Linked DNA regions of Stegostoma tigrinum. The protein of the gene in region 2 purifies or fractionates together with the protein of the main gene of each other region. This does not show direct contact. Links are inferred from orthologs where the notes say so. Each region holds a gene or a part of one and is shown on either strand. Other genes may lie near its edges. The genes, in order: ddx46, snrpa1, cdc40 and splicing factor U2AF 65 kDa subunit-like.

What was found.
Region 1: the proteins of snrpa1 (region 2) and ddx46 purify together in Homo sapiens (affinity purification with mass spectrometry; 3 studies listed by BioGRID and IntAct, counting the BioPlex papers as one, with this or other methods). This does not show direct contact. The link is inferred for Stegostoma tigrinum from reciprocal best matches to the Homo sapiens genes SNRPA1 and DDX46.
Region 3: the proteins of snrpa1 (region 2) and cdc40 purify together in Homo sapiens (affinity purification with mass spectrometry; 3 studies listed by BioGRID and IntAct, counting the BioPlex papers as one, with this or other methods). This does not show direct contact. The link is inferred for Stegostoma tigrinum from reciprocal best matches to the Homo sapiens genes SNRPA1 and CDC40.
Region 4: the proteins of snrpa1 (region 2) and splicing factor U2AF 65 kDa subunit-like fractionate together in Homo sapiens (co-fractionation; 3 studies listed by BioGRID, with this or other methods). This does not show direct contact. The link is inferred for Stegostoma tigrinum from reciprocal best matches to the Homo sapiens genes SNRPA1 and U2AF2.

The regions. Positions count from the first base shown.
Region 1 is NC_081366.1:30,953,677-30,961,160, reverse strand, and holds the start of ddx46 (probable ATP-dependent RNA helicase DDX46), read right to left. Parts: upstream 3,011-7,484; 5' UTR 2,906-3,010; coding exon 2,889-2,905; intron 1-2,888. UniProt on the Homo sapiens protein: Component of the 17S U2 SnRNP complex of the spliceosome, a large ribonucleoprotein complex that removes introns from transcribed pre-mRNAs.
Region 2 is NC_081386.1:1,212,322-1,219,942, forward strand, and holds the start of snrpa1 (U2 small nuclear ribonucleoprotein A'), read left to right. Parts: upstream 1-4,614; 5' UTR 4,615-4,662; coding exon 4,663-4,744; intron 4,745-7,621. UniProt on the Homo sapiens protein: Involved in pre-mRNA splicing as component of the spliceosome. Associated with sn-RNP U2, where it contributes to the binding of stem loop IV of U2 snRNA.
Region 3 is NC_081357.1:25,293,325-25,300,594, forward strand, and holds the start of cdc40 (pre-mRNA-processing factor 17), read right to left. Parts: upstream 3,008-7,270; 5' UTR 2,768-3,007; coding exon 2,582-2,767; intron 1-2,581. UniProt on the Homo sapiens protein: Required for pre-mRNA splicing as component of the activated spliceosome. Plays an important role in embryonic brain development; this function does not require proline isomerization.
Region 4 is NC_081375.1:48,722,782-48,729,961, reverse strand, and holds the start of splicing factor U2AF 65 kDa subunit-like, read right to left. Parts: upstream 3,009-7,180; 5' UTR 2,780-3,008; coding exon 2,731-2,779; intron 2,716-2,730; exon of another isoform or gene 2,551-2,715; intron 1-2,550. UniProt on the Homo sapiens protein: Plays a role in pre-mRNA splicing and 3'-end processing. By recruiting PRPF19 and the PRP19C/Prp19 complex/NTC/Nineteen complex to the RNA polymerase II C-terminal domain (CTD), and thereby pre-mRNA, may couple transcription to splicing.

The DNA.
Region 1 (7,484 bases), on a different chromosome or scaffold from region 2:
TAAGCTATTTCCAAGTCATCTGGAGTCATGATTGGGTAAAGTTAAAACATCAATGCACGATGGGCCAAGGAGTAAAGACCTCTGACATCTCCCCTGTATCTACCTCCACTTGCTTTAAAACTATGCCCCCTGTAATAGCTACCTCCACCCAAGAAAATAGTCTCTGGCTGTCTACTCTATCTGTACCTCTGATCATTTTGTACTTTTCTATCAAGTCACCTCTCGTCCTTCGTCGTTCTAAAGAGAAAAGCCCTAGCTCTCTCAACCTTTCCTCGTAAGACCTTTCCTCCATTCCAGGAAACATCCTGGTAAATCTCCTCTGTGCCTTTTCCAAGGATTCCACGTCTTTCTTGAACATCGTTGGGATTACAACTGAAACTCAACTGGACTTCTCACATAAACACAGTGGCCACGAAGGTAGGTCAGAGGCTAAGAATACTGTGGCAAGAAATTCACCTCCTGACTTCCTAAAGCCTGTCCATTACCTACACGGCACAAGTTAGGAGTGCGATGGAATATTCCCCACTTGCCTGGATGGATGCAGCTCCAACAACGCTCAAGAAGCTTGACAGCGTCCAGGAGAAAACTCGATTGGCACAACATTCACAAGCATCCACTCCCTCCATCAGCAATGCTCAATAGCAACAGTGTGCACTATATACAAGATGCACTGCAGAAATTAACCAAAGATCTTTAGTCAGCACCAAACTGAATACCATTTCCATCTCAAAGGACAAGGGCAGCAAATACATGGGAACATCACCACCTGCAAGTTCCCCTCCAAGCTGCTCACCATTCTGACATGGAAATATATGGCTATTCCTTTACTGTTGCTGCACCAAAATCCTGGAATTCCCACCACAACAGCATTTTGGGTCAACTTACAGTAACATGGACAGCAGCAGTTTAAGAAGGCAGCTCACCACCACATTCTCGAGGGCAATAAATGTTGGCCAGCCAGTGATGCCCATGTCCGATGAGTGAATATAAAAAAATCAGAGCAGCCAGTTTGTGTATAGCAAACTGTCGCATAGAGAACAATGTGGTCATTACCACTCTGCTCTAAGATATTAGCTGCACATTAAATACCAGCATGACACTACAGCCAATTCCCTGTGCCATTCTGCTCAGAAGAGCAGGCTAGTCCTCAAGTTAACAAAAGTTAGCACCTCTGACAATGTTTTCCCTTTTAAATAAATGATTTGGATCTGAATACAAGAATGGCTAGTAAGTTTGCAGATGACACCAAAATTAGTGGTGTAGTGAATTCTGAAGAAGGATATCTCGGAGTACAATGGGGCCTTGATCAGATAGGCCGATGAGCTGAGGAGTAGCAAATGGAAATTCATTTAGATAAACATGTGGTATAATGTAAATCAGGTCAGGACTTAGGCTTTAGAGATAGCAAGAATGCAGATGCTGGAGAATCTGAGATAACAAGGTGCAGAGCTGGATGAACAGCAGGCCAAACAGCATCAGAGGAGCAGGAAGGCTGACGTTTCCGGCCTAGACCTCAGAAAATGAAGAAGGGTCTAGTCCGAAACGTCTGCCTTCCTGCTCCGCCTGTTGTGTTCATCCAGCTCTACACCTTCTTATCTCAGGACTTATGCATTATTTAGGGTCTGGGAAGTGTTGCCAAACAGGTTCATAATTCTTTGAAGGTAAACAGGGTAGTGAAGGCAGCATTTTGTATGCTTGCTTTTATTGGTCAGTGCATTTGTATAAGAATTGGGAGGTCATGTTGCAGCTGTCCAGGGCATTGGTTAGGCCATTTTTAGAATACTGTATACAATTCTGGTCTTCCTGTTGAACGGGTCCATTAAAGATTTACAACGATTTTGCTTGGATTGGAGGGTTTGAGCTATTGGGAGAGGCTAATTAGGCTGGGGCTATTTTCCCTGGAGCATCAGAGGCTAAGGACTGACCAGGTTAGATAAGGTGAATAGTCAAAGTCTTTTCCCAGGCTGGGAGGATCCAAAACTAGAGGAGATGATGGGAGAGGGGACAAGATTTAAAAGGGAGGTGCATGTATGAAGTGAGCTGCCAGAAAAACTGGTGGAGGCTGGTACAATTACAACATTTAAAAGGCATCCAGATGGGTATATGAATAGGAAGGCTTTCAAGGGATATGGGCCAAATGCTGACAAATGGCTCTTGGTTAACTTAGGGAATCTGTTCAGCATGGATGAGTTGGACTGAAACATGTTTCTGTGGTGTACAACTCTTAGTCTGTAAATGTTCCTTCAATGCTGCGTGTCAGTCAGGATTTCGATGCTCAAGTCTTGAAATTTGACTTGAACTCATACAACGATCTAACTCAGACACAGCTGATAAGGTATAGCGTGTAATTACAAAGTTGTTCCCTATGTGAACTTGCAACGACTTAACTATAACTGATTTTGTGACCACGAAATTTATCGAATCATTCCCAAAACCATTTTCATCTAATAACTAAATACATGTACCCCTTTAAACTGGTACAGAAATTGTGCCAGCTGTGCACCTGAGCTCGGGGGTACCAGATTAGATTTGAAATTTCCACTGCCCTTGCTCAGGACCCATCAGGAATCTGAAGCCCCCTTGTTCACTACCACAACAGGTGGCAAACATATCTCCTCCTGGCTACCAAATACCAGACGTGAAAATATACAAAGGCGATTTTCAAAAAGTGAAATATTCCGACGGTTTATCCTTTGCTGGAGGTGCTGTGGAGGAAAGTATCGTGGTATAGAAGGGGCGATAAATCGATGCAGAGAGTTCTGGCTGGGTGACTGCTAGGTCTGAGGCCTACTCCATTAAACTGCCTTTCTCCCTACCACTCATTACCGCCCGTCAGACTGTTCTCCCCGCCATTAACCACCCGCAGTGAGAAATACATTTATCACTACCTGGACTCTCTGCCCATTTCGAACGATTAAAGAGAACAAAACCAGCAACTCTCCACCTTCGCCACAATCCGATGAAGAAGGAGCGCACAGCGCCAAGAAGAAAGAAAAAGCCTCTTGGCTTCCAGCAACAACGCCACCGACTGACCGGAGGACCTAATGCCACACTATCGTTCATTGGGACCGATGATAAATTTTGTATTAGAGATAATGGGGACTGCTGACGGTGGAGAACCCGCACAGATGCTGCTTGCCCTGCTATGTCCATCCAGTTCCACAGTTTGTGAGAACAATTTTGTTTGCTTTGAGCACTTAACGCGGTCTCAGGGTCCCCTCAGTCTGGTCTGACCCATCTCCCACACCTCTTGCCTTCAGCCCTTATCCTCTTTCCCCAAATAGTAATAAGGCTCTGCTTGTTCTTACTTTCCACGCTGCTGGTCACCGCATTCAAAGGATTACCCTACTCCATTTTTGTCACCTCCATCAGGATGTGACTGCTGAACTCATCTTTACTCTCCTTCACTGTCAGCATTCCACAAGAACAGTTCCTTCCATGGTGCCCTGGTTCATTCCTGCAACACTCCGAATGCTCTCTCACCCGCTATGGCACCTTCTCAAGCAATCACAGAAGGTGTAGCATTTGCCCATTCTCCTCTTCCCTCCTTACTGTTCAAGGCCCTGAAAACACCTTCCAGGATACATCACAAATGCAAGGGCTAACACTCACTGAAAATGTAGCTAGTGTGTACCCAGTCACAGAGCAAGTTGATGAAAGCCCATTGCTGGCAGCAATCTTACTGCATTAATCAACCATCCATACCATATTTGAATTACAATGATGCACCAAAGATGCTTGTTGGCAAGGACTTTGCATGTGGCTTATGACTGTTGGACCTGATCACGAATTGATAGCAGGCTTATAACATTGTGGAACAAATGATTAATGTTACGAACAACTGTTCCATTGTCTGAAATTCCTTTCAGTATTTAACAAATTTGTGTTGGTCTATTGCATTGTCTATAACTTTTTCCTCATGAGGGCACAGGCCCTGTCAGCAGAGTGGGCAATGTGGAAAAGAAGAGGCAGAAGAGGAACAGATGGTGGTGAGTTGTCTCTGAGCAGATTCTCAGACTTTCGTTCCTTGGTAATCTCATTGCCACATCATCATTGTTTTACAAGTCCAGAGTCTTTTCATCTTCTTGGCTTAAATCCTGAAATGAAAGACAGCACAGAGCAAGTCTTTTTAAAACAACTTTCTCTGACAGCATTTCCAATGATATGTACAAAATCAAATTATTCACACTGCTGCATTTCTTAGGTGCCTGTTTTGAAGGTGTCTTTGCCTGGCCGAGTATTCATATGTAGTCGCAATGGCTGCAGCATGGCTGAAAGAAGGCTCGTAATCTTCAATGTTTAGGATTCATCTGTGATGTCATGCACAATTTCACTCTCCAGAGAGTAGACACATGAGCTATTCTTTCCCTCTGGCTTGGCTTATAACATTATAAGCTTTGCAGCCCACTTGTGCACTAAAGTGCTAATGCCTCTAAGTTATATTCAGCGCCATTATGTCAGCCTATCAGTAACATTATTTCTTTATAACATGCTGTTGCTCTCATCTTCGCAATGAGACACCACTAACTGGTCAGGTAGCAGATCTAGGGTATCTGAAAGTAGAAATGCAAAAGAGGAGGATTGAAGTGAGGTAAAGGAATGTGTTGAGTGGAAAGCTGCAGAATCATGCTCAAACCCTTTGCAGTTTGCACTACATGTCAGCAGGAAAGGCTGAGGTGGGATTTTAAAAGTGAGTAAGACAGGCGCATGCCTTCATCCAAGAATTCTCAACACTGCAGAATGCAAAGTCCGCAATCACTACTGTGTAATGTTTTCTCTCTGAAGGGTTCAAGGGCTGTAAGTTTGCCTGTTACATGTGAGGTCTATGCTGCTCTCTTCTGCTATATGCTGTCTTGTCCTACAGGAGAGAGGAAAGAATATCTGTAAGTATACTTAAACAAGTTGGGGTGACATGCCTGACATGACTGAATAGCTGTAGGTTTGTGAAATTAGAAGGAGGCTTTGCCAGCCTATTGATAAGTGTGTGAGAATGAATGCAGCATCTAATATTGGGCTTGAGTGTAGGAATACCAAAGATTCCTGGTGGCAGAGTAATGGGTTGTGTGCATTACACAGTGTGAGGAGTTGGTAGGTTGATGGATAACACGAGACATTAAATGATACACTCATTGACCTTGCTTACTTATGTGGGACCATTGAACGTTTGCTAGCATTGCTGTCAGGTCCTGGGCACTGGACTTCTGGAATTTGATAATGTGATCATTTATGCTCACATTTCCTTCATAGGTTGTACATTGAGGGTATCCTGGCCCTCTGTGAAGACATAACCATTCTACTTTTTCCAATCCCTTAAATTAAAGCCTCCCACTACTTTTCAGAAAATCCCTTTCACTGAACTGTGTTTTATTGATATTTTTAATCCTTTCCTCAAAGCCTCTCGCACAGAATTCCACCAGTTGCTCCCTTTAAGAAGAACAGATTGCCTTTAAGAAATACTGTCTGGCTGCAATTTGGTCGATTGATTGGTTGTTGTCATGTACCAAAATACAGTGAGAAGTATTGTTTTGAGTGTTACACAGGCAGATCATACCATACAAAGTGTATCAGGGCAGCAGAACAGAGTGCCAGATACAGTGTTACAGCCTCAGAGAAGGTGCAGAAGGAGCAAAAGATCAACATTAACATTTGAGAGGTCTGTTCAAAAGTCTGATAATAGCGGGGAAGAAGCTGTTCTAGAATCTATTCGTACGTGATTACGTTGGTTGCTTTCCTGAGGCAGCGAAAAGTACAGGTGGAATCAAAGAAATGGGAGGCTGGTTTGTGTGATGGACTGGGCTGTATTTATGACTTTGTCTAGCTTCTTGCAACCTTGGAAAGAGCAGTTGCCATGCCATGCTGTGATGCATCCAGTTAAGATGCTTTCTATGGTGTATCTGTAAAAAACTGGTAAGAATCCTTGTGAACATGTTGGATTTCCTTGGCTTCCTGAGGAAGTAGAGTGGTTGTTGTGCTTTCTTGACCATTATATCAATATGGGTGGACCAGAATAGCTTGTTGGTGACCATGAGTTGGTCATGCATTTTGTACTGTGTAGCAAATCCCAATCATTGAATTGACCCACTGGCATGATGTTTACATGCTGCCTGCATAATCTCAACTGGGCCTTGCTTGATCATTCCTTATGATATACACAACTCTCTAAGTGAATTTTACCTGAATCCATTCAAAGTAAATCAGAACTGAAGGAGAAATGATGATGAGATAATGATAAATACAAGAAAAATGATTGGAAAGGAAGAATCGGACATGGGGCACAACCTAATAGGGGCCTGGATGCCATGGGCTATGGCAAGAAATTACCACAATCACACAAGACAAGCGACATGTTGGGAAAAACTGCTGCGTCTTATAACTAGATTCTGGGTGTTGAGGCAAAATTCTAGCTATACAGAAGCAAATTATTTATCAGGGGTGAGTACTGCTTGTTAATGATGTTATTAACTGCACGTTTGACCTTATAAATTTGCAGCTTCCTGATTTACCACCCACTGTGAGCAAACTAGTCACCAAGATAATTCAACATGCAAGTCAAAGCAGGTACCTGGTGACTTCAGCTCACTGCTCACTCTGAAGAACCTCCATGTTGGGAACAGTTGTCAGCATCTCATGGGCAATGCTAATGTACACCCCATATCCATGGGCATTGGTGTCCAGAATGTGCCAGCCTTGAAGAAGCCTCATGGCACACCTCTAATCCATGCACAGTGCTCTTGAATTTCAATGTTGCACTTCACGATGCAATAGTAATTATGAGAGTAATACTGCAGCAAGGATACTTTGCTCTCAGCAACATGCACCCAGCTCATAAACTGAGCCACAATGCATCACCACCTGTTTACTTGGTCTGTTGGGGTGGTCAATATCAGAATCCTGTCCAAATAGAGAATGAGGAGACTATCACAGCCCATCACTCCACTTGGTCTTCCCTGTCCCACTGTGGGCCATTTTCGTCCTGGAATGAGAGAAGAGCAGGTGAAAAGGGGATAAAATTGGGTAACACTAATGCAGGTAGCAAGGTGTCCCGAGTGAGTGTTTAGGCAGTGCAGAAGACATACATGGTTCGTGCTGTCAGGTATTGCGATGGGCAATAACAAGTGACAGAAGATGTTGCAGGCAGTAATAAGAGTGGGAGGTGGGTGCAGTCGCCAAGATAGATTGAGTGTGATGCATTGGAGAGAAGGTGGTGGCACTTACGCTGGTAGAATGAAGAAGGACATTGACCTTCTTCCTAGTTGGCTGTGGATTTATCTAGACTGACCTGGGTGGTAATGTTAAAACCAGACCAATAGGGTCTGATATTGTGGCCTCCACTGCTGGGCCTGGGGAAAGAAAACTTCACTCGTCTGCATCATTTGTTGACTAGGACTTCCAAGACCCTGCCCTCAAAATAGGGAGACAATTTATCCTTGGCAGCATGTTAGTTTGTTTCAGAATATCCTGGCAATGGCAAACTGTTCCAGGAA
Region 2 (7,621 bases):
GGCTTGTAGGAATTCTCGTGCCTGTCTCTGCCATACTGTCCCAGGATCTTGGTGTTGTCCCAGTCGAAATGATGGTTCTCCTTGTCCATGTGGATTGAGATCGGTGAGTATTGGTTGTCTTTTTGTAGCCAGTTGGTGTTCATGTACTCTTGTTGTTAGTTTCCTTCCTGTTTGCCCGATGTAGTGTTTCTCGCAGGCTCTGCAGGGGATCTTGTAGATGTCCTGTCCATGGCGGGGAGTGGGACCCTAGTTCGGGTGAGCAGTTTCCGAAGGGTTGACGTGGGCTCGTGTGTCACTCTGATGCCCAGCGGTCATAGGAGTCTTGCGGTGAGTTCCGACGTGTTCCTGCTGTAGGATAGTGTGATGTGTGTGTCGGGAAGTGTAGTATCTTTCCGGATATCCAGTTTTTCAGAAAGATACTACATGTATCTTTCATCAAGAAACATGAACTGATGTGAATGCGTTGAATAAACCTAAGATAGCTGTTAAATTTTTAATCACTTAGAAATGACGAATACACAAAATCCCAGAATTTATTTCAAGTCACTGTCCCAAGATAACTAAAGGTTTTATCAGTATACCAGAGGTGACTTCTCAAGTCAGACAATGCATTTTAGATGCGAGGCTTCGTTTAGAATCTGGCTGTTTATTAACTTGGAGTCAGATTGGTTTTATTTCCAAAGTAGGAATTTATAAAATTCCACACTGACTGTCTACAAATTGTGTGCTTTTTGAACGGAACAGAATGTATCTGCAATTACAAACCTGCAAATGCAAATTCACCCCATTGATATAGGTGCGTGTGTGTGCGCGCATGCTTGAGAGAGAGAGAGCGTCTATAAGCCTTGCCAAAGACGTTATTAAAGTCCACACAGGCAATGTCTACCGCTCTGCCCTCAATTATCTTGTTCATCTCCTCTTCCAAAAAACTCAACAAAGTTTGTGCGATATGATTTCCTGTGCACAAAGCCATGTCAACAATCCTGACTAGTCATGGCGAAGGGTTTTGGCCTGAAACATTTACTTCCCTGCTCCTTGGATGCTGTCTGACTTGCTGCGCTTTTCCAGCTCTACATTTATTAACTTTCCAGTCTTCTAGGACCTCAACTGTGGCTATCAATGATATAAGCATCTCTGCTAGGGGCCCCACAATTTCCTCCCTATTTTCCCTCAATGTCCTGAGATACATTTGGTCAGGTCCAGGGGATTTATCTACCTTTATGTGTTTTAAGACCTTCTCTTCTGTAATGTGGACTCTTTTCAAGATATCACCATTTATTTCCCTGAATTCTTGAGCTCGATGTCTTTCTCCATAGCAAATACCGTGGCGAAATATTTGTTCAGTGTCTCAACCATCCCCTGTAGTTCAACACTTAGACAGCTTCATTGATCTTTAAAAGGCCCTATTCTCTCCCTAGTTACTCTTTTGTTCTTAATACACTTGTAGAATCTTGTTGGGTTCCCCTTAGCCTTACCTGCCAAATCTACCTTAGGTCTCCCCTTCCCCTCCTGTTTTCACCCCCTGTACTCCTGAAGGGATTCATTTGATCTCAGTTGCCTATACCTGGCATGTGTCTCCTTTTTTTCCTTGACTAGAGCATCAACATCTCTAGAAATCCAGCATATCCTATACTTGCCTATCACATCACACGAATATGCTGTCCCTGACTCTGGGTATCTCACCTTTTAAAGTTTCCCACTTGCAAGACATCCTTTTACCTGTACATAGCCTCCCCAATCAATTTTTGAAAGTTGCTGTCTAACACCATCAAAACTGGCTTCAGTTCATCAAGACTGCTTCCCCAAAAATATACTAGCTGTGCTAATTAAAAAACAAAAGAACTGTCAATGTTGTAAATCAGAAATAAAAACAGAAATTGCTGAATAAGCTCAGCACGTCTGGCAACATTGTTGATCTTTTAAGGGCCCTAGTTACTCATTTGCCCTTAATACACTTGTAGAATTTCTTTGGCCCTTAATATACTGTTCTGAGGAAGGGTGTTTTTTCATTCATGGGATAAGGGCATCACTGACCAAGCAACATTCATTGCCCATCCCTAATTGCCTTGAGGGTAGTTCAGAGTCAACCACACTGCTGTGGGTCTAGAGTCACATGTAAGCCAGACCAGGTAAAGATGGCAGTTTCCTTCCCTAAAGGACATTAGCAAACCAGATGGATTTTTTCAACAATCAATGATGAATTCACGGGCATCATTAGAGTCTTAATTCTGGATATTCATTGAATTCAAATTCCACCATCTACTGTGGTGGAATTCGAACCTGGGTTTCTCAAACATTTCTGGGTCTCTGGATTATCAGTATAGTGCTAATACCACTGGGCCATTGCCTCCCCAGGGTCACCAAAGTTAACGAAACATTAACTCTGATTTCTCTTCGCAGATGCTGCCAGGCCTGCAGAGGTTTTCCAGTAATTTCTGTTTTTGTTACTAGTTATGCTATCCACCTGCCTGCACTCATAACCTTGAAAATTATGACATTTCAAGTGCTCATCCAAGTACTTTGTTGCTGCACCCCACTACCTTCCCAGGCAATACATTCCAGACCTCCACTCTCCTCTGGGTTTTTCCTCAAATCCTAAGCCTCTTGCCTTTCAGTTTAAAATTATCCCTCTTGTTATTGAGCACTTTGGGTCTAGTGATCATAATTCCATTAGTTTGAAAATGTTCATGGAACAGGACAAGCCTTCCACAAAAGTTGAAGATTTTAGTTGGATCAGGGTAAATATTTCTAATGTTTTGGAGGAAATCTGTAGCTCGTGTTGTGGGTGTTAAGGTTGGTTGGCTCGCTGAGCTGGTTTGTTGTTGCAAAACAACAAACCAGCTCAGTGAGCCAACCAACCTCAAAGGCAAATATTAACAGTATGAGACAAGAACTTTCAAAAGTTAATTGGAGTAGACTGTTTGCAGGGAAAGGAACGTTTGACAAGTGGGAGGCTATCAAAAGTGACATAACCAGGGTTCTGCAGCATTATGTTCCTGTCAGAGAGAAACGTAAGGCTGGTAGGGAAAAATGAATGAACAAACATATTGAGGTTCTAGTCATGAATAAAAAAGAATCAGGGGCATTCTTAAGAGTGATATCAGGAAAGCAAAGAGATGTGAGACCGGCTAGGCAGACAAGGTTAAGAATAGTCCAAAGAGATTCTACAAGGACATTAAGAATAAGACAGCAACTAGGGAGAGAGAAGTCCCTTAAAGACCCAAGAGTCGTCTTTGTGTTAAATCTCATGAGATGGGAGTGATATTAAATGAATATTTCGCATTAGTTTTTGCCATGGATAAAGAAATGGTCGCTAGAGAAAGCAGGGAAATAAATATTGATGTTTTGAAAACTGTTCACTTTACAGAAGAGGATGTGCTGGAGAGCTTATAAACGTAAAGGTGGATAAATCTCGTGGACCTGATCTTGCGTATCCCACCATGAGATACGACCAATTCTCACTTGTCTCAATACACGCGGACAACCCATCCATAACTGCACAAGCCAAACAGAGACACGCCAGGGAATTGGAGGCCTGGTATTCTAACTGGAACTCCATCAACAAACACATTGAATTAGACCCCTTGTACAAAAAACAGAGATACAGACCTGAAAGTGGTACCAAACATCCCAACAAATGGAGGCATATAAATAACAAGCGGAATTGAACACCAACGCTTCACCAGAGGCACACTAACAATCTTACCTCACAGAGTGACGAAATGTCTGCAAACAAACCCACCAGCTTGGCAAGCAAGTCTATAACCTCAAGCTAGTCACCAGTCTGATTCAGAAATATATTACTATTCCTTCAATTTGTCTGGGTCAAAATCATACAGTCCCAAGGATCAGTGGGATGAGAACAAAAACAGAAGTTCCTGAGAAAGCTCAGCAGGTCTGGCAGCATCTGAGAGGAAGAAAATCGGAGTTAACGTTTCGGGTCCAGTGACCCCTCCTTCACCGGATCTGAAACGTTAACTCTGATTTTTCACAGATGCTGCTAGTTCTGCTCAGCTTTTGCAGCAACGTCTGTTTTTGTTACTGAGTTACAGCATCTGCAGCTCTTTCGGTTTTTATTCAGTGGGATGAAAAGCTGAGGTTGGATTTTATTCCTGGAATTTGGAAAGAGATGAGAAGAAACGTTTTCTCTTCAAAGGTTTTAAACCTCGGTAATTTTCTAACCAGTTTAACCAGAAGTGTATACACCAGGTGTAGATGGAGCATCAGCTGTGATCTTACTGAAAGACAAGCTGAACGGCCTACCGCGTTACTATTTCTCATGTTTCACAAACACATCTGACCCTACCTTCTCCTTTATTCATCTTCTATCCACCTCCCCGTCTCCCTATTTATTTCAGAATTCCCTTCCCCTCCCCCATTTCTGAAGAAGAGTCTCGACCCGAAACGTAAAACTTTCCTGCTCCTCTGATGCTGCTTGGCCCGCCGTGTTCATCCAGCTTCACACCGTGTTATCTCTAATCAATGTCTCCCACTTCATTTCCAACGTCCAAAGTAACCCTGTGCGCACGGGGCACTATGGGAGTGAGAGCACGGGCGGGGCCGCGGGGCACTGTGGGAGTGAGGGCAGGGGCGGGGCCGCGGGGCACTGTGGGAGTAAGGGCAGTAGCCAAGGCGCAGGTTGGTGTGGGGGTGAGGGTCATCATGGTGAAGCTGACGGCGGAGCTTGTTGAATTAGCAGCTCAGTACACGAACCCGGTCCGAGATCGGGAGCTTGATCTTCGGGGTAAGAGAGTGTCGGAGAAATTTGGCTGATCGTCGAGCTATGCCCGTATCTAGCCGTGGGCCCAGAGGCAGTCTGGGGCAGGACTTCCAAAGCGCGGTTCGTCCTCCCCTCCCCCCGCACCCTCCCTGGTTCTTCTCACCCGCCTTGCCCATCAGCCTCCCCACCCCCCCTCCCTTCACCCTCCCCCCCCCCCCTCCCTTCCCCCTTCCCCCTCCCCCCCCCCTCCCTTCCCCCTCCCCCCCCCCTCCCTTCCCCCTCCCCCCCCCCTCCCTTCCCCCTCCCCCCCCCCTCCCTTCCCCCTCCCCCCCCCTCCCCCCCCCTCCCCCCCCCCCCTCCCCCCCCCTCCCTCCCCCTCCTTCCCCCTCCCCCCCTCCCCCCTCCCCCCCCCTCCCCCCCCCTCCCCCCTCCCCCCCCCTCCCACCCCTTCCCCCTCCTTCCCCCCCACTCCCCCCCCTCCCCCCCCCTCCCCCCCCCTTCCCCCCTCCTTCCCCCCCACTCCCCCCCCCTCCCCCCCCCTCCCCCCCCCTCCCCCCCCCTCCCCCCTCCTCCCCCCACTCCCCCCCCACTCCCCCCCCACTCCCCCCCCCTCCCCCCCCCTCCCCCCCCCTCCCCCCCCCTCCCCCTCCTTCCCCTCCTTCCCCCCACCTCCCCTCCTCCCCCCCCCCTCCCCCCCTCCCCCCCCCTCCCCCCCTCCCCCCTCCCCCCCTCCCCCCCCTCCCTCCCCTCCCTCCCCCCCCTCCCTCCCCTCCCTCCCCCCCCCTCCCTCCCCTCCCTCCCCCCCCTCCCCTCCCTCCCCCCCCTCCTCCCCCCTCCCTCCCCCCCCTCCTCCCCCCTCCCTCCCTCCCTCTCCTCCCCCCCCCCTCCCTCCCCCCCCCCCCTCCCTCCCCCCCCCCTCCCCCCCCCCCTCCCTCCCCCCCCCCCTCCCTCCCCCCCCCCTCCCTCCCCCCCCCCCTCCCTCCCTCCCCCCCCTCCCTCCCTCCCCCCCCCCCCCCCCCCCCCCCCCCCCTCCCCCCCCGCCCCCTCCCCCCCCGCCCCCTCCCCCCCGCCCCCTCCCCCCCCGCCCCCTCCCCCCCCCCCCTCCTCCCCCCCCCCCCTCCCCCCCCCCCCCCTCCCCCCCGCCCCCTCCCCCCCCCCCCTCCTCCCCCCCCCGCCCCCTCCCCCCCGCCCCCTCCCCCCCCCCCCCTCCTCCCCCCCCCCCCCTCCTCCCCCCTCCCTCCCCCCCCCCTCCCTCCTCCCCCTCCCTCCTCCCCCCCACCCTCCACCCCCCCCCCCTCCCCCCTCCCCCCCCCACCCCCCTCCCCCCCCCCACCCCCACCCCCCCCTCACCCCCTCCCCCCCCTCACCCCCTCCCCCCCCTCTCCCCCTCCCCCCCCTCTCCCCCTCTCCCCTCCCCCCCCTCTCCCCCTCCCCTCCTCTCCCCCTCACCCACCTCCCCCCCCTTCCCCCCCCCCCCCCCTCCTCCCCCACCCCCTCCCCCTCCCCCCCCACCCCCCCCCCCCCCCTCCCCCTCCCCCTCCCCCACCCCCTCCCCCTCCCCCTCCCCCCCCCCCCCCCCCCCCCTCCCCCCCCCTCCCCCCTCCCCCTCCCCCCCCCTCCCCCACCCCCCCCCCTCCCCTCCCCCCCCCTCCCCCTTCCCCCCCACCCCCTTCCCCCCCCCCCCTCCCCCCCTCCCCCTTCCCCCCCTCCCCCTTCCCCCCCTCCCCTCCCCCCCCCCCCATCCCCCCCCCCCCCCCACCCCCCCCCCCCCCCCCACCCCCCCCCCCCCATCCCCCCTCCCCCCCCCCTTCCCCCCTCTCCCCCCCCCTTCCCCCCTCTCCCCCCCTTCCCCCCCTCCCCCCCCCTCCCCCCCCCCCCCCACCCCCCACCCCCCCCCCCACCCCCCACCCCCCCCCCCCCTCCCCCCCCCCCCCCCCCTTCCCCCCACCCCCCCCCTTCCCCCCACCCCTCCCCCTTCCCCCCTCCCCCACCCCACCCCCCCCCCCCCCCCTCCCCCACCCCCCCCCTCCCCCCCCCCCCTCCCCCCCCCCCCCATCCCCCCCCACCCCCCCACTCCCTCTCCCCCCCCCCCCCTTCCCCCCCCACCCCCCCCTCCCCTCCCCCCCTCCCCCCCCTCCCCCTTCCCCCCTCCCTCCCCCCCTCCCCCCCTCCCCCCCCCTTCCCCCCTCACCCCCCCCTTCCCCCCCCCCCCCCCCTCCCCCCTCCCCCCCCCCCTTCCCCCCTCCCCCCCCCCCTCCCCCCTCCCCCCCCCCCTCCCCCCTCCCCCCCCCCCCCTCCCCCCCCTCCCCCCCTCCCCCCCTCCCCCCCCTCCCTCCCCCCCTCCCCCCCTCCCCCTCCCCCCCCCTCCCCCCCTCCCCCCTCACCCCCCCCTTCCCCCTCCCCCCCCCCTTCCCCCCCCCCCCCTCCCCCCCCCCCTCCCCCCTCCCCCCCCCCTTCCCCCCACCCCCCCCCTCCCCCCTCTCCCCCCCCTTCCCCCCTCCTCCCCCCCCCTCCCCCCTCTCCCCCCCCCCCCTTCCCCCCTCCCCCCCCCCCTTCCCCCCTCCCCCCCCCCCATCCCCCCCTCTCCCCCCCCCCCCTCCCCCCCTCCCCCCCCCTTCCCCCCCCCCCCCCCTTCCCCCCCCACCCCCCCTTCCCCCCCTCCCCCCCCCTCCCACCCCCCCCCTCCTTCCCCCCCCCCCCCCCCCCCCCCTCCCCCCCCCCCCTCCACCACCCCCCCCACCATCCCTCCACCCCCCCCCCCCACCCCCCCCCCTTCCCCCCCCACCCTTCCCCCCCCCCCCCCCCCCCACCCTTCCCCCCCCCCCTTCCCCCCCCCTCCCTTCCCTTCCCCCCCCCCTCCCTTCCCCCCTCCCTTCCCCCCCCCTCCCTTCCCCCCCCTCC
Region 3 (7,270 bases), on a different chromosome or scaffold from region 2:
CTCTGCAGCCATGACAATTTTGTTTTCAAAACAGTTGAGAGTCTTTAGACTGAACTAGTTCTTATGTAGCTCTGGAGGGTTCACTGAGCAAGGTAAATAATTGTTCCTCAAAGTTCCTACTAGAAAATCATGTTTTTTTTAAGCTTGAAGAGATTGAAACGTTAGAGAGATTTTTTTCAGTTTTACTGTCAGTTTTGGGCAGATCTACATGTGCAAAGTTTTCATGTGCAAAGTTGTTCCAGAAAGGAAAAAGATGGTGGATTTGTTAAAACTATAATGTGGAGGTGCCTGTGTTGGACAAAGTCAGAAGTCACACAACACCATTGTTATTGTCCTGATGAATGGGCTGTGCTTTGAAAGCTTGTGATTTCAAACAAACCTATTGGACTATAACTTAGTACCATGTGACTTCTGACTATGACAGAACTAGACCACCTTGGAGCGATGAGTTAAAGTTCCAGAACGGAAACGTTTGGATAAAATCCTGAACAGGTTACTTGAAATTGAGATAATTAAGCTCAGGCATATGATAGCTCTGGGAAGAAACTACTGTGTTTCCCTGTCAAGAGCTGAAGTCAAATTAGACACATCCAGGTGCAAGAAACTTTCCGGTATGACAGCTGTATAAGGGGGTGCTTCTGCGTACTGTACTGAAGTATTTTAGGATCTGTACAGGAGTCTTTTTAAAAGTTTAATGGAATTATATTTCACTGTATGTTTTAACATCTTTACAGTTTGTGTTACAAGTAAATTGTGTGGTTTACTCTATTTTATTTCCATACATTTTACTTCAAATTTCTGCTTTATGGTTAAAAACAATTTTTAAAAAGATTCATTCATCAAAAGTGGGCATGGTTGGCTGGGCCAGGATTTACTGGCTATTTCTAACAGCACTTATTAAGGTAGCGGTGAGCTGTCCTCTTGAACTGCTTCAGTCCATTTGCTGTTAGCAACGCCATTAGGGAGCAGTTCCAAAATTTTGACCATGCAACACTGGAAGAAAAATAATATATTCCCAAGTCAAGATGATGAATGGCTTGGAGGGGAACTTGCAGGTAGTAGTGGCTGTACGTAACTACAGCCCATGTTGATCTAGATGGTAGTTGGCATGAGTTTGAAAGGTGCTGTCAAGGAGCCTAAGTGAATTTCTGTAGTGCAGCTTTCAGATGGTGTACACTGCTGCTGCTGCAAATCTGTAACACTGTATGCATCCAGGGGTGCATGTTCATTGTTCTTTGAAAATGGAGTCACAGGGAGACAGGGTAATGATGAAGGTGGTTGGTATGCTAGACTTTATTGATCAGTTGGGATGTCATGTTGTGGCTGTACAGGATATTGCTTAGTCCACATTTGGAATACTGCCTTCAAATCTGGTCTTCCTGCTAAACAAAAAATGTTGTGAAAATTGAAAAGGTTCGGAAAAGATTTCCAAGGATGTTCCCAGTGTGAGAGGGTTTGAGCTATGGCCAGAGGCTGAATAGACTAGGTTTATTGTCCCTGGAGCATTAGAGGTTGAGAGGTGACCTTATAGAGGTTTGTAAAATCATGGGGGGGCATGGATAGGGTGAATAGCCAAGGTCTTTTCCCAGGTTAGGGAAGTACAAAGCTCATGGGCATAGATTTAACCTAAGGGGCAACTTTTTCATGCAGAGGGTGGTGCACATATGGAATGAACTGCCAGAGAAAGTGTTGGAGACTCGTACAATTATAACATTTAGAAGGTATCTGCATGGGTATAGGAATGGGGAGGATTTAGACAGTCTGGTCTTAGTCTGGTCAGCATAGACAAATTGGACAAAAGGGCTTGTTTCCATGCTGAATATTTCTATGACTCTAATCCAAACACCAAAACACATTAAGTCAGCTAAATCTGTTTCCAAAATCCATGCGGCAGTTCCTACTGAAACATCAAAACAAACGTGTGTGTAGTGGACAACGTTGCAAAGAGCTCTAAGCAAATCACCTGTGTCTTAAAAACTACCTAATAACAACCAAAAGAGCTGCGGATGCTGTAAATCAGCAACAAAAACAGAAGTTACTGGAAAAGCCGGTCTGGCAGCTTCTGCAAAGAAAAAAATCAGAGTTAACATTTCTGGTCCGTTCACCCTTCCTCAGAACTATTCTGTTAACTTTGATCTTTTCTTCACAGATGTTGCCAGACCTGCTGAGCTTTTCCAGCAACTTCTGTATTTTGTTCTTAAAAGTACCTATCTTTCAAGGGTTAATCAAAATGTAATAATAACAAATGGGGCTTATCAATTTACTGAAGTATACTAAGCCTGTACACGCAAGGAAATTACTTATAAAGGTTTTTCTCCTCATAAATGAAACAAGTTAGCAACAAATCTGTAGTCTAGTTAAAATGGTCTGTTATCAGATGTCAGTTTCCAATAGCTATTCAACGGAACATCACCAACATTATTAAGGAATTTTTGAGTGGTATTTTTCTGTCGTAGACGCATCAATTCTGTCCTTTCCCCAGGTTCGGGTCGGAGGCAGACAAACCCCGTTTTTTGTGAGATTGTCAACAGACTAAACCCATGTGCCCCATCAGGCCCGACTCGGGCCTTCCTACACTCACCTTTACAGCAACATCAGGAGCGGAGTTCAAAGCGAGGGATCCGTGAAGGCGTGACATGGATTTCTTAGGCTCCAGAGGGTGCAGATGAGCCACGGCGTCTCGGCTGGGGAGCTCTCCACATTCACCATCCGAGTCGCTGCCACTGCCGCTGCCGTAAGAGGCCAGAGCCGCAATCGCCGCCGACATTTTCGCGGGCGCCTCTCTCAGAAGATGACGCGCGCTTGCAGATCTAAAACTTAACCAGTCCTCCCCAAGTAAACACCACAGCGTTCACTGACAGGAGTTTCCTTGGCACCGTCTTCACTATTTTAAATGTTGAGAAATTTCTATCGGCGTCAGTCTCACAATATCATCCTCCCGGACTTCAGCGAAACTCCAAGGACTATTATTTACCCCACGGCGGTAAGGCCCAAATTCCCACCTCCGACAATCTGATTGGCTAGCCTGGGAAGGAGTGGGTGAGCCCATCTCGGCAACAACCCTTTGTCCATTGGTTCTGTGCCTTGTCGATCAAAAGACATCACAAAGCTCCCTTCGACCCTTCCTCCTCCGTTCCACAACGCATTCCAATTCGATGGTCTTCCCCCATACCCCTTCCAAACGGCCAGTGCCATTGGGACAATACACGGGAGGATCGCTCAGTGCGTTCAGCCGGATAGCGGTGGACGAAATCCGTTCCGGCAGGCACAGCTGCGTCCGGCGCTTTCTAAGCTCGGCCGTTCTCTGCGATTTGGAAGCCGAAACGCCTCTATTTTCGGATTGAAGAAGCGAACGGGTCCTGCTGCCGCGGGTGCGATGTTCCCCGTGCGTGTCGCCGACGTGCGCCATTCCGGCTGAAGCGGCGGCGGTGTTGTTATCGAGACCGGCGAAAACTTGGGGCGTCAGTAAAAGCGGACCGGTTAGAGCGAAGCTCCCAGACGGCCGCTCGCGGACAATGAAGACGTTATTCTCCAACTGAAAGACGTTCCAATTCATTGTTTTTTTTAAAAAAAAATCTATAGGTCTAGGTATCTCGGAAGATTATATTTTAAAAAAATACTCGAGGCCGGTAAGAGTTTACAGGGTACGTAATTCTAATCTCAGTGAATGAAATGTCGAGCTCTTGGAATTTTATTTATTGTTGCAGTGTTTTTATTTGCTGTGCAAAACAATTGCCTCACAGCAAAGGTGTGTGTTCGGAGAGGGGCTTGCGTTTAGCCATGGTAATTTTTTTTTGCAGTCTACAATCTTACCTTTTTATTTTTCTTCTCCCTCGCCAATTTCTTTCTGTGGTTGCCGAGGCCCCGGCAGGTAGTGATGGTTGGACTGATGGATGGGGCTTGCTCGGGTGCACCTGGGCTTCAGCCCTGAGTCTCTCATTCTCTCCTGCACCACAGTCGGAGCTGCACTGGCCGCAAAAAATCCCGTGTTATCGAGAGTCTGACCTTTCTGCAACTCGCTATAACTCACTGCTCTCTCTCCTGTTCCATTTCAACCACTTAGTTGAGATCGTGAATTTGGATGCGCACTCAATCCCTTCGCAAGAACATGCAGTATAAAGGTGTCGATTGTTTGCAGAAATTTTATTTCAATATTGAGGTTTTCGTGAAGCTGGATGGATGCCCTCGATTTCCACAAAGAATTTGGGAAGGGGGTGTAGCGGGTGGAAGAGAAGATCGGCAAATATTCTGTGACCCTAAGATATTAGATCTCAGCGCGGCAGGGTATTTTATTTTGTGCAATTTATAAACAGAGGCTTACTGTTGAAGTTTTGTCCACTCACGGACAGTAAGTTCATGTTTGTAGGTGCGGTGCCGTCGCATCACGACTGTAACGGTCGCTAATTTTGCAGCGTAGGGAACACATTTGACTAGGATGAATGATAAACGTGCTGATTATTTAGCAATTTTATTGCGAATGACCATGAGCAACTTTTCAGGACTGTCTGCTTTCCTGGCCCCTTGACCTAATGCAGAAAATTATTTGCCTTTACGTTTTGAAAGGCTGTTTATTTTTGCTTTAAACTCTGCCGCCCGCAGTACTCGATTCCCACGCCAGAGGTTGATCGCAGACCTGAGCTCCTGTATTTCACCTCTTCGAAAGACCTTCCCATACGCACCCACCCCCTAACCGCAGTGTTTCAATATTTTGAGCGGAGTAAAGAGAGATCCACGATGAGCGGTTGGAGCGACACTATCTCAATTTGCGCAAAACTTTAAAAGCACAACTTAGTACTTTGGATCCTTTCCTTTCATTAGCACTTCTTATATGCGGTCCGAATAATTGCTCTTCACAGCCGAAGTGGAATTGCAAACGACTTTCAGATAACTCGCTGGGGAAATAATTGCAATACCCTGGAAAAAATGTTCTAGTATAAATCGCTATGCATTTCTGAGACGGGTAACTTTTTTCCAAGCTTAGGGTTTCAAAAGTTGGAGCAGTGACAGATTTGAGCTCGATCCTGTTTCTTAACTTTAAGAACAAATCAATCGGGATGATTTCTGCTGCTGTGCTTTTTTAAAATTTGTATTGTTTTGTAAACTTCAAATCTTCCTGAAGTTAAAACGTAGCGCTTTTCTGCTTATAGAAAAATTTCAGGATCCACTCACTATGACCATACCTTTAACAAAGGAAATGTAGCCAAGAGCTTACACGTTATCAGACAGAAATGGAAATTCAATAGTAATAGGACAAGGAATTTCAAGTAGCTTTTAAGGAGCATCTTGGAGCAGGATAGAAAGCAAGATAGAACACAGTGTGTTTTAAATATGGAATTACAGAGCAAAGACCTGCGACTTTGGTCAATACAGCTACCAGCAATAGGGCAAAACAAAAGGAAAGTGCTCATGAGACTAGAATTGGAAGAACAGAGAGTTCTTGGAGAGCTGTAAGCTTGAAGAACCAAGAAGGTACTTGATGCAAATTCGAAATTAGAGGCATTGTTGAGTTGTGGAGCTTCCAGGGAATGCATGAATGATGCTTGATGCAAGTTGGGAGTTGGCAGTGGTTTCATATGAGCTTAAGGATGGTAAATGAAAAGCCAACCAGGACAGCATGTCTTGTGTAGCAAACTTAGACAGCGTTACCTAAAATTGCACCATTCAACAGCCCATTTTACAGCAATTTACTCATTGATGTCATTGCATGAGGAGTTGGGACCTGAAGAAAATGTGGACCCCTCACCATATGTTCCTCTTCAATGTAAAATGTATAGGTTTCAAATAAGCTAACTAATTACACACAAAAGAACATGGGCTTGTGAGTGTTTTCAACTCTTTGTATGACTGGTGCTGAAACTGTAAACATGGAAGGGCAGAGACAACACAATTTAGATTTAAGGGAGGAGCAGTCTAAAATGAATAATAAAATACCAAAGAAATAACCTTTCAGCAGCATCTAAATTCTCTGCCTAATTTTAGATCCATTTTAACTCGCCATTCTTTCAAGAAACTTATGTATATAGCTTGCATGGTCACGTGCTGAGGTGAAAAGCACGATCAGCAGGACTGAAAGGCTAACGTAACTGTGCATCTTACACTTTTGTTTGGTCTCCTAAAGCAAGTTTTGTTTTGTACCTTGAATAGTTGTATCTTGGGTGCAAATGTAAGGAAATTTCACTATCTTTTATTTTAATTATTCTTGTCTTTATTTCAAGATAGATGCATTTTGTTATTGTGAACTAGCTATTTGAAGATTGAAACTGCTGTGTTAAATTGTTTGGTCGTCTTTTCATCGCAGATGTATGTTAGTTATTGCACTTAGCTACTTGATAATTATGGCTGGCCAGTGTTCACATAAATCTTATAAAATGTTCTAAATTTATGGCAAATAAATTATTTTTGTGCTTGAGTAGGCTGAGAATATAAATGTATGAAAGAAATATTGGCTTTAATGAAATGGAAGTTTTCAAAATACTGAATATGAATGACTTTTAGAAATGTAACTTTTTAAAGAAACATCATGGAGAAGTGTGTGTGTTTAGGAGCATTGTATCGGTCATGTATACTGAAAATGTGTATGGCAAAAAATCTATGAAAACCAGATTTTGCTGTACTAGTCTCATTACACCAAAAAATACTGCCAAGTAATCTTACTTGCAAAGAAAGTTTCTTCAATATTATGCATATAATTATCTTAATATTTAACATGAAAAGATACAATTCAGGAGAATGTTTTGGGAAATTGGATAAGGAGCCAATTTACTTTTTATGATTTTCTGAGGTTGGCTGTTTGTTGACAAATTATATAATTAGGTTTTTATAGATTTGTGCAGATCATTATGAAAGGGCAATGCTTATCCATTAAAAGTACATTTGCAACACAAATACAGTATTGTGAATAAATTATTTCATCTGGCATCTTAAGTGCACGGAGATTTACGTGAAATGCCAAATGTGAAATTATGCCATTTTTGTTATTTTTAATGTGTTGGATGCTTTACTGAAATAAAAGATTGGCTATCGCCTTATCTCATAGTTGGTATGTTGCCAATTAATAATTCATGTTTAAAAACCATGAACAGTATTATTAAGCTTCAGGAGGATTGTAGAAGAGCTATACTGTGCTTTAAGTGAAGTAATGCCATGAGCAATAACAGCTTTGTTTGTCATAAAAGTTAGGCCATTGGCATGATAAATTACACAACTTCCCAACCAATTCTTAATATCATGACTTCTAATTAAAGTTAGATTCTTTCGTTCACTAGCTTTT
Region 4 (7,180 bases), on a different chromosome or scaffold from region 2:
ACATATGCCTTAATAATTAATTCTCAATTATTCATAGCAGGAATGCGCCTGAAGTTAGACATAAAATACTGTTATGTACTCCTCATATTTCTTTGGATTGCCTGTTGGGTTTCTCCTATGTTAGCTCAATATCAGTGAAAGAATATCTACAAATATGGCCATCTCCAACAGAGAATCTACTCATCGTGCCCCCTTGGCATTCAATGGCATTACTATTGCTGAACCCCCACTATCAACATCCTAGGGTTCATCACTAGCCAGAAACTAAAACATGGACCAGCCAGTAAACATTGTGGCTACAACAGCAGGTCAAAGGCTGAGAATTTCAGTGAGTAATTCACATTCACAGTCTCCGAAGCCTGATTGCAATGTAAGCCAGGTGTGTGATGGAATACCTTTCATTGCCGGCACACACACAGTTCCAAAACAAGAAGCCCAACACTGTTCAGGACAGAACAGGCCACTTCAATCCTTCCACCACTGCACAGCGGCTGCAGCAGGTTCCGTCTACAAGACGCACTGCAATTATTCACCAAGTTTTCCTTGACAGCACCTTCCACATTCTCAAATTCTAACACTTACAAATACAAAGGAAGCAGATGCCTGGGATGACTTTAATCAGTAAATTTCCTTGCGAGTCTCTCACTATCCTGACTTAGACGTACAATGCTTTTCTTTCATTTCTGCTGGGTTAAGTCCTGGAATTCACTTCTGAGTGCATCTACCTGATGTAGACCATAGCAGTCCAAGAAAGCAGCTCATGACCATGGGCAATAAATGCTACCCTAACTGTTCAAATCCCACCACTGAATATTTTTGAGAAATGTATGCTTTTAAAAAAAATCCGAAACTATATCTGAACAGAATGAGTGACAAATAAAACTTGTACTTAAAATAGCTAGTTCACAGATTCATGCTAAAAGTAAAAAGTCACCTAATTGTAAATCCCTCATAACTCTTTCATAAATATTCAAAAGACAGGAAAGCACCCATGTTTCCAGGGGTACTAAATCTGAGAGACAAATTTACCCAATAATTCCAATTCCCTACCTACTTAAAAATCTGATCAAAACCACATTCTTAAGGGTATGCAACAATGTTGAGTTTCAATATATGTATAAGAAATAAGAGTTTTTCAATTCAGAGGAGACTAAATCATATAATCTGTAATGTCGTATACTGTAACTGAAATCCAAGTTGGCTAATAGGTATAATCAAGTAAAATTCAAATTTCTGCTTAATATAGGAAGGACTGAGTGAAGCTTGGAGAAAAATCCAAAATATAATTTTTGTAAGGGTTAGCAATTTCTTGCAACTTCATCTTGGACTGCTCTACAGAGTATGTACATAATTCATAAAATGCTCAAGTTGGTAAAAACTGAATGATTCAAAGGATTCAACTGCAGCCTCTTACTGGATTTTAGCACCTGTTTGCAATTTTCAGCTATTCAAACAGCAGGAGGCAACAGCAAGTTCTAACCAGTTGTATGAAACGCAGTTAAGGAACAGCGGCTCTACTAAATACTAATATATTGATTGTTTAAAAAAATCTCAAAACAGCAAATGCTGAAAAATTCACAGACAAATACATTCAGAAAATTTTGGTCTTCACACAATTATAAAAGAACATACAGGCAGATCCCAGGTTGCGGACGGGTTCGGTTCCTGAGTTTAATTTGTACACAAGGTGGAACACAATGCAGGACAATTATAAAGCAAGTATGCGTATCAAAATTTCTTGTACTTATGTTGGATATTTTAAATTATATCCCAGTATGAGATTGCTTTCATAAGTACAAACATTTGTATGTTGGACATTCATAGATCAGCATCTCTCTGGAATAGATTAACTATTGATTAGACTTGTTTGTCAATTAGACATTTGACCAAAAGAAACATAATTCAATTTAATACATTTAAATACTGAATCAAACCCTTCAATGAAATTGAAAAGGCAAAAGATTAAAAATATTTTAAAGTAAAAACATATAGACAAATCCACATCTGTCATTACTTCAGTACTCCCCTAAAACTGCAGGCAGCCAAACATACAAGGTTTGGCCCGAAACATATGCCTTCCTGCTCCTCTGATGCTGCTTGGCCTGCTGTGTTCATCCAGCTCTACACCTTTGTTATCTCAGGCACCCAAACGTGCAAGGTTTTAGTGAAAACAGACACAAATACACGTTTTGTACCAAGGTGAACTGTTTTCCCTGTGCAGATCTCCCTTTGGTTCCGAAAAGGCACGACTGTTCCTTCTCTTACCATTTTGCCGTTTATATCCCTACAGCAGACTTCTGGATTCCCTTTTATGTTGCTAATGAATGGGTGGGGGCAAAGGGGGTACGGGTCAGAACATAGAGCGCAGTGGTTGGAGGGGCTGAATGAGGAGAAGAGGCAGTGTGCAGAGGAGCTGAGAGAGAGGGAATGCCCAAGTCTCCACATGGGCTGAATGTGGAATCGGACTACGGGGGGTGCAGAATACAGAGGGACGGAATGGCCTTCTTCCTGTCACCAGGGTTGGCTAAGTTGACACTGAGCTTGCGCAATGCACCCACCCGCCGCTCATTCGGTATTCATTGAGAAACCAGTTTTAAATTAACTCCTGGAAACACGGACGATTTTGACTCGAGGCCGCAGCAGGGCCGACGGGGTGGGATGACGGGGAGGCCCTGGAATCCTTTATATAAAAAAACCCAGAAAAAGCCTGGTCCGGTAGGCCCTGCTCACCTTGTCGGTTCTCGTGCAACTGTTTCTCGAATTCGTCAAAGTCTGACATTTGTGTCTGTGTGAACCTTTACGATTTTTTTTCAAAAAGAAAGTGGGTGAAACTTGTTTTTTTTAAAAAGAAAACAAAAGGTGGTTTATCAATCGTGAGTCCCGCGCCGTCCCTCGATCACCGTTAAAAACGGTGCCGCAGCTCTCCCCCCCGCCGACTCGGGTTCAGACTCTGCTCCCTCCGCACAATGGCCGCTTCACCCGCGGCTTCCGGATGGCGCTCTCCTCCTCCCCTCCCCCAACGCCGGGACCGGCCTCCGACTGACAGCTCAATTCACCAATCGTTGCCGAGAGTATCCCCCCATGGGCGAATCGTTGGGGCAGGACCGCGGAGGCCACGTTGGGTCGCGGAGGGACGGTGCGCGCAGAGAGTCAAACGCCGTGTGGGAACTTAACGCATTTCACTGCCGCTCTTCCTCAAAGTGACACAATGACAGTAACAGACACATTCAAAATAAACATTCCCTAACTTTCACCCAGTAAGGTGTAAAGTGTTTTCAGTTACGTTTACATTTTTGTTTCCATTTCTTCGTTTGCTAGCCAATACCTACGGGCTCAGAGATGGCTTGTTTATTCTGTTTTGGTTGAGTGAGTTCTGAGATGGCTGATGAATCCAATGGACCATTTCAAGACTCTGCCACATGAAGGGCAAATTGGACTTGAAGGACAGGCACCTAGAATAGAGGTTGTGCTCCCATTGAAGTCCTTCAATCTGTTTGATGCCTTCTAAAATAAATTTCCCCCTTTGATCATGCCATGAGTTGCTGCAGAGACTCCCTCTCTTTATAGATGCTTAGAGCACCTCCCTAAAGTGTTTCCCTCTGTTCTTCTGGCAGTCTCCTGTTGTGACTGAGTTCTGAGTAGAAAGCAACCAGATCTATTGTCGAAAAATTTAATTTTTATTCTCCTGTTTGACCAGTTTTTGAAGAAGGACAACATGAGACACTTTAAAAGTACCAAATTAAGATACATGGGGAGCTTACTGTTATATTGCTAATTATCCTGATATTTTGTGTTTCTTTTTAAAGTTGTCTACTTTTATACGTTTCTGAATATAGTACAAAAAAAATGATGGAGTCATTTTGTATCACCACGCAAAGTCAAGAGCCAGTTCTCATGTATTCAGGGCAAATTAAACAGTAGAGCCCATCTAAATCTGGATAAGAACAATCAGTTTTTGTTCCAGTGGGCAAGACGGAAAATTGATGAAAAAAGAGTTTGCTTAAGCTTTTCATCTTGTAAATCAGCACAAAAATAATGCCAAATTTCAAATAACCAAACAATTATACAAGAGAAGAAGATGCTAAATAATTGGCGATAACAAAGTGTGGAGCTGGATGAACACAGCAGGCCATGCAGCATCTTAGGAGCAAAAGTTGATGTTTTTGCGAGTTGACTTTGATTGCTTGAGGCACTGTCTTGGAGAAAGTGATGAAGAGCTACATGGGCTCTCCAAAATTACATAAAATTTGAAGCTGTTGCTTATTTTGTAATGTATGGGTTCCTGCATGTGAATGCATATCATTTATTCACAGCACAAATCAGCTATTTTACAAACTCAACAGATTATTTTAAGCTATGCTAATGCAGACGTTAGCACTCTTATTTAACAAGTGCTATAAACCATAGAGTCATAGGGCTGAAAGAGCATGCAAACAGACCCTTTGGTCCAACTCATGCATGCCAACCGGATATCCTAAGTTAATCTGGTCCCTCTTGCCAGAATTTGGCCCATATCCCTCTAAACCCTTCCTTTTCACATACCCATCCAATTGCCTTTTAAATGTTGTAATAGTACCAGCCTCTTCCACTTCCTCTGGTAGCTCATTCCGTCCATGCACCAGTCTGTGTGTGAAAACATTGCAACTTAGGTCTCTGTTAAATTTTTTCCCCTCTCATACCGTCTAGTTTTGGACACTGCCACCCCGGGGGAAAGACCTTGACTATTTTCCCTTTCGATGCCCCACATGATTTTATGAACCTCCATAAGGTCATCCACAGCCTCCGACACTCCAGGAAATATAGCCCCAGCCTATTCAGGCTCTATCTATAGCTCCAATCCTGGCAAGATCCTTATAAATCTTTTCTGAACCCTTTCAGGTTTTACAACATCCTTCCTGCAGTAGGGAGACCAGAATTGAATGCAGTATTCCAAAAGTGGCCGAACAAATGTCCTGTATAGTCCCAACATGACCTCCCAATTCCTATACTCAATGAACTGATTAATAAAGGCAAGTGTACCAAACACTGCCTTCACTATCCTATCTTCTTGTAACTCCACCTTCAAGAAACTATGAACCTCCCACTCCACAGTCTCTTCAATTAGCAACATTCTCCAGGACCTTACCATTAAGCCCTGCCCTGATTTGCCTTACCAAAATGCAGCACTTCACATTTATCTAGACTAAACTCACTCTGCCACTCCTCAGCCCAATGTCCCTTCTGACGAAGGGCCCATTGTATTCTGAGGTAACCTTCTTCACTGTCCACTACACCTGCTATTTTGGTGTCAGCTGCAAACTTACTAACCATACCTCCTCTGTTCACACTCAAATCATTTATCTCAATGCAAAAAGCAGTGGACCCAGCACTGATCAAGCTAGTTCTAAATTCAAATGGCTAGTTCTCCCTATATTCCATGTGATCTAACCTTGCTAATCAGTCTGCCATGAGAGACCTTATTGAATGCCTTACTGAAGCCCATTTAGGTCATATCCACTGCTCTGCCCTTATCAATCCTGACCCGAAACATTAACTCTTGATTCCTCTTCACAGATGCTGCCAGACCTGCTGAGTTTTTCCAGGCTGTGGACGCCAGGGCATTGAGTACATATGAGACTGAGATAGATAGGTTCTTGATTATCAAGGGCTATGGGGAGAAAGCAGGAGAATTGTATTGAGGAACTTATCAGCCATGATTGAATGGTGGAGCAGACTCGATGAGCCGAATGGCCTAATTTTTGTTCCTATGTCTTATGGTCTTACTTCTGTTTTAGTTTCTGATTTACAGCATTTGTAGTTCTTTCAGTTTTTAGGGAAAATTTGAACCTCAGGCTTTGCAGGAAGGCACGGGCCTTTGATGGAAAATATATTTATCAGCGCTTCAAACATTGCAAATATTAGTGTATAGGTGAGATAAACATTTTCTTGCAAATATTGTATTTTTTAAGAGTTTTCATGAAACCTTTATTTGTTGTGGTAGATCTTCAGCTCACCTCCACCCTCCTGATGGCTGTTTCAGATTCTCTGTTGTGCATGGACTGTCAACCCTATGATTTAGCATAAGGTCTTCAGACAGAAGTCCTGCTTTGCTGTAAATTTGCTGTTCATACTCTTTGGAGGGTTTCCTTCTTCAGTTCATAAAACCTCAGCATTGTTCTACCCTGTTGTAAAATAAACAGAAGTTGCATCTAGGTTGTGGTACATGGTAGAGCAAATATGACACATCAGGAACTTTCTGATTGACAAGCAAGTGGACAATAAAATATCCTTGCAGGGCAATTGCAGAAAGTTGTTTAAAACACTAAAAGAATGTAAAGTTTGTTGTTTCTGACACTCCAGGGCTACAGAATCATAGGGAGATGATTGTGTAGTGGTAATGTCACTGAACTAGAAAGCAATTCCATGGGCCATTCTAGGGCCATCTATTCAAATCCTACCACAGCAGATGGTGAAACTGGAATTTAACAGAAAAGAAAATAAAGAATAAAAATCTGGCCTAATAGTAATCATGTGACTGCTGTGAATTGTCATTAAAAACATCCCATCTGGCTCATTCAGGGAAGGAAATGTGCCGAGGGGTGGCCTACATATGAGTCCACATCCATAGCAATATAATTGACTCTTAGGGCTGAGCAATAAATGCTGGCTTTGTCAATGGCAGCCCCATCACAAGAACAATAACACAGGAAAAAAATGATTACAAAGTGTGGAGCTGGATGAACACAGCAGGCCAAGCAACACCTTAGGAGCACAAAAGCTGACGTTTCAGGCCTAGACCCAAGGAAAATTTTCTGGTGAAGGATCTAGGCCCGAAACGTCAGCTTTTGTGCTCCTAAGGTGTTGCTTGGCCTGCTGTGTTCATCCAGCTCCACACTTTGTTATCTTGGATTCTCCAGCATCTGCAGTTCCCATTATCTCTGATCACAGGAAAAAAATGACTCAGCTTCTAACTCAGGTACTTCAATGAGAGGCTAAATATTATAGACAACTGGGTTATTTTTCAGTGTAAGACTTAGTAGGGATGACCTCTATATTAACATTCTTATGCACACTGACAGGATTAGTGACTATTTGTAGTCCATATTAATGGCTTAGATAAAGAGACTGAGTATAATATATGCAAATTTCCCGAAGATTCAAAGCTAGGCGGGGAAATAGAGTGGAAAATGCTCCAGCGAAG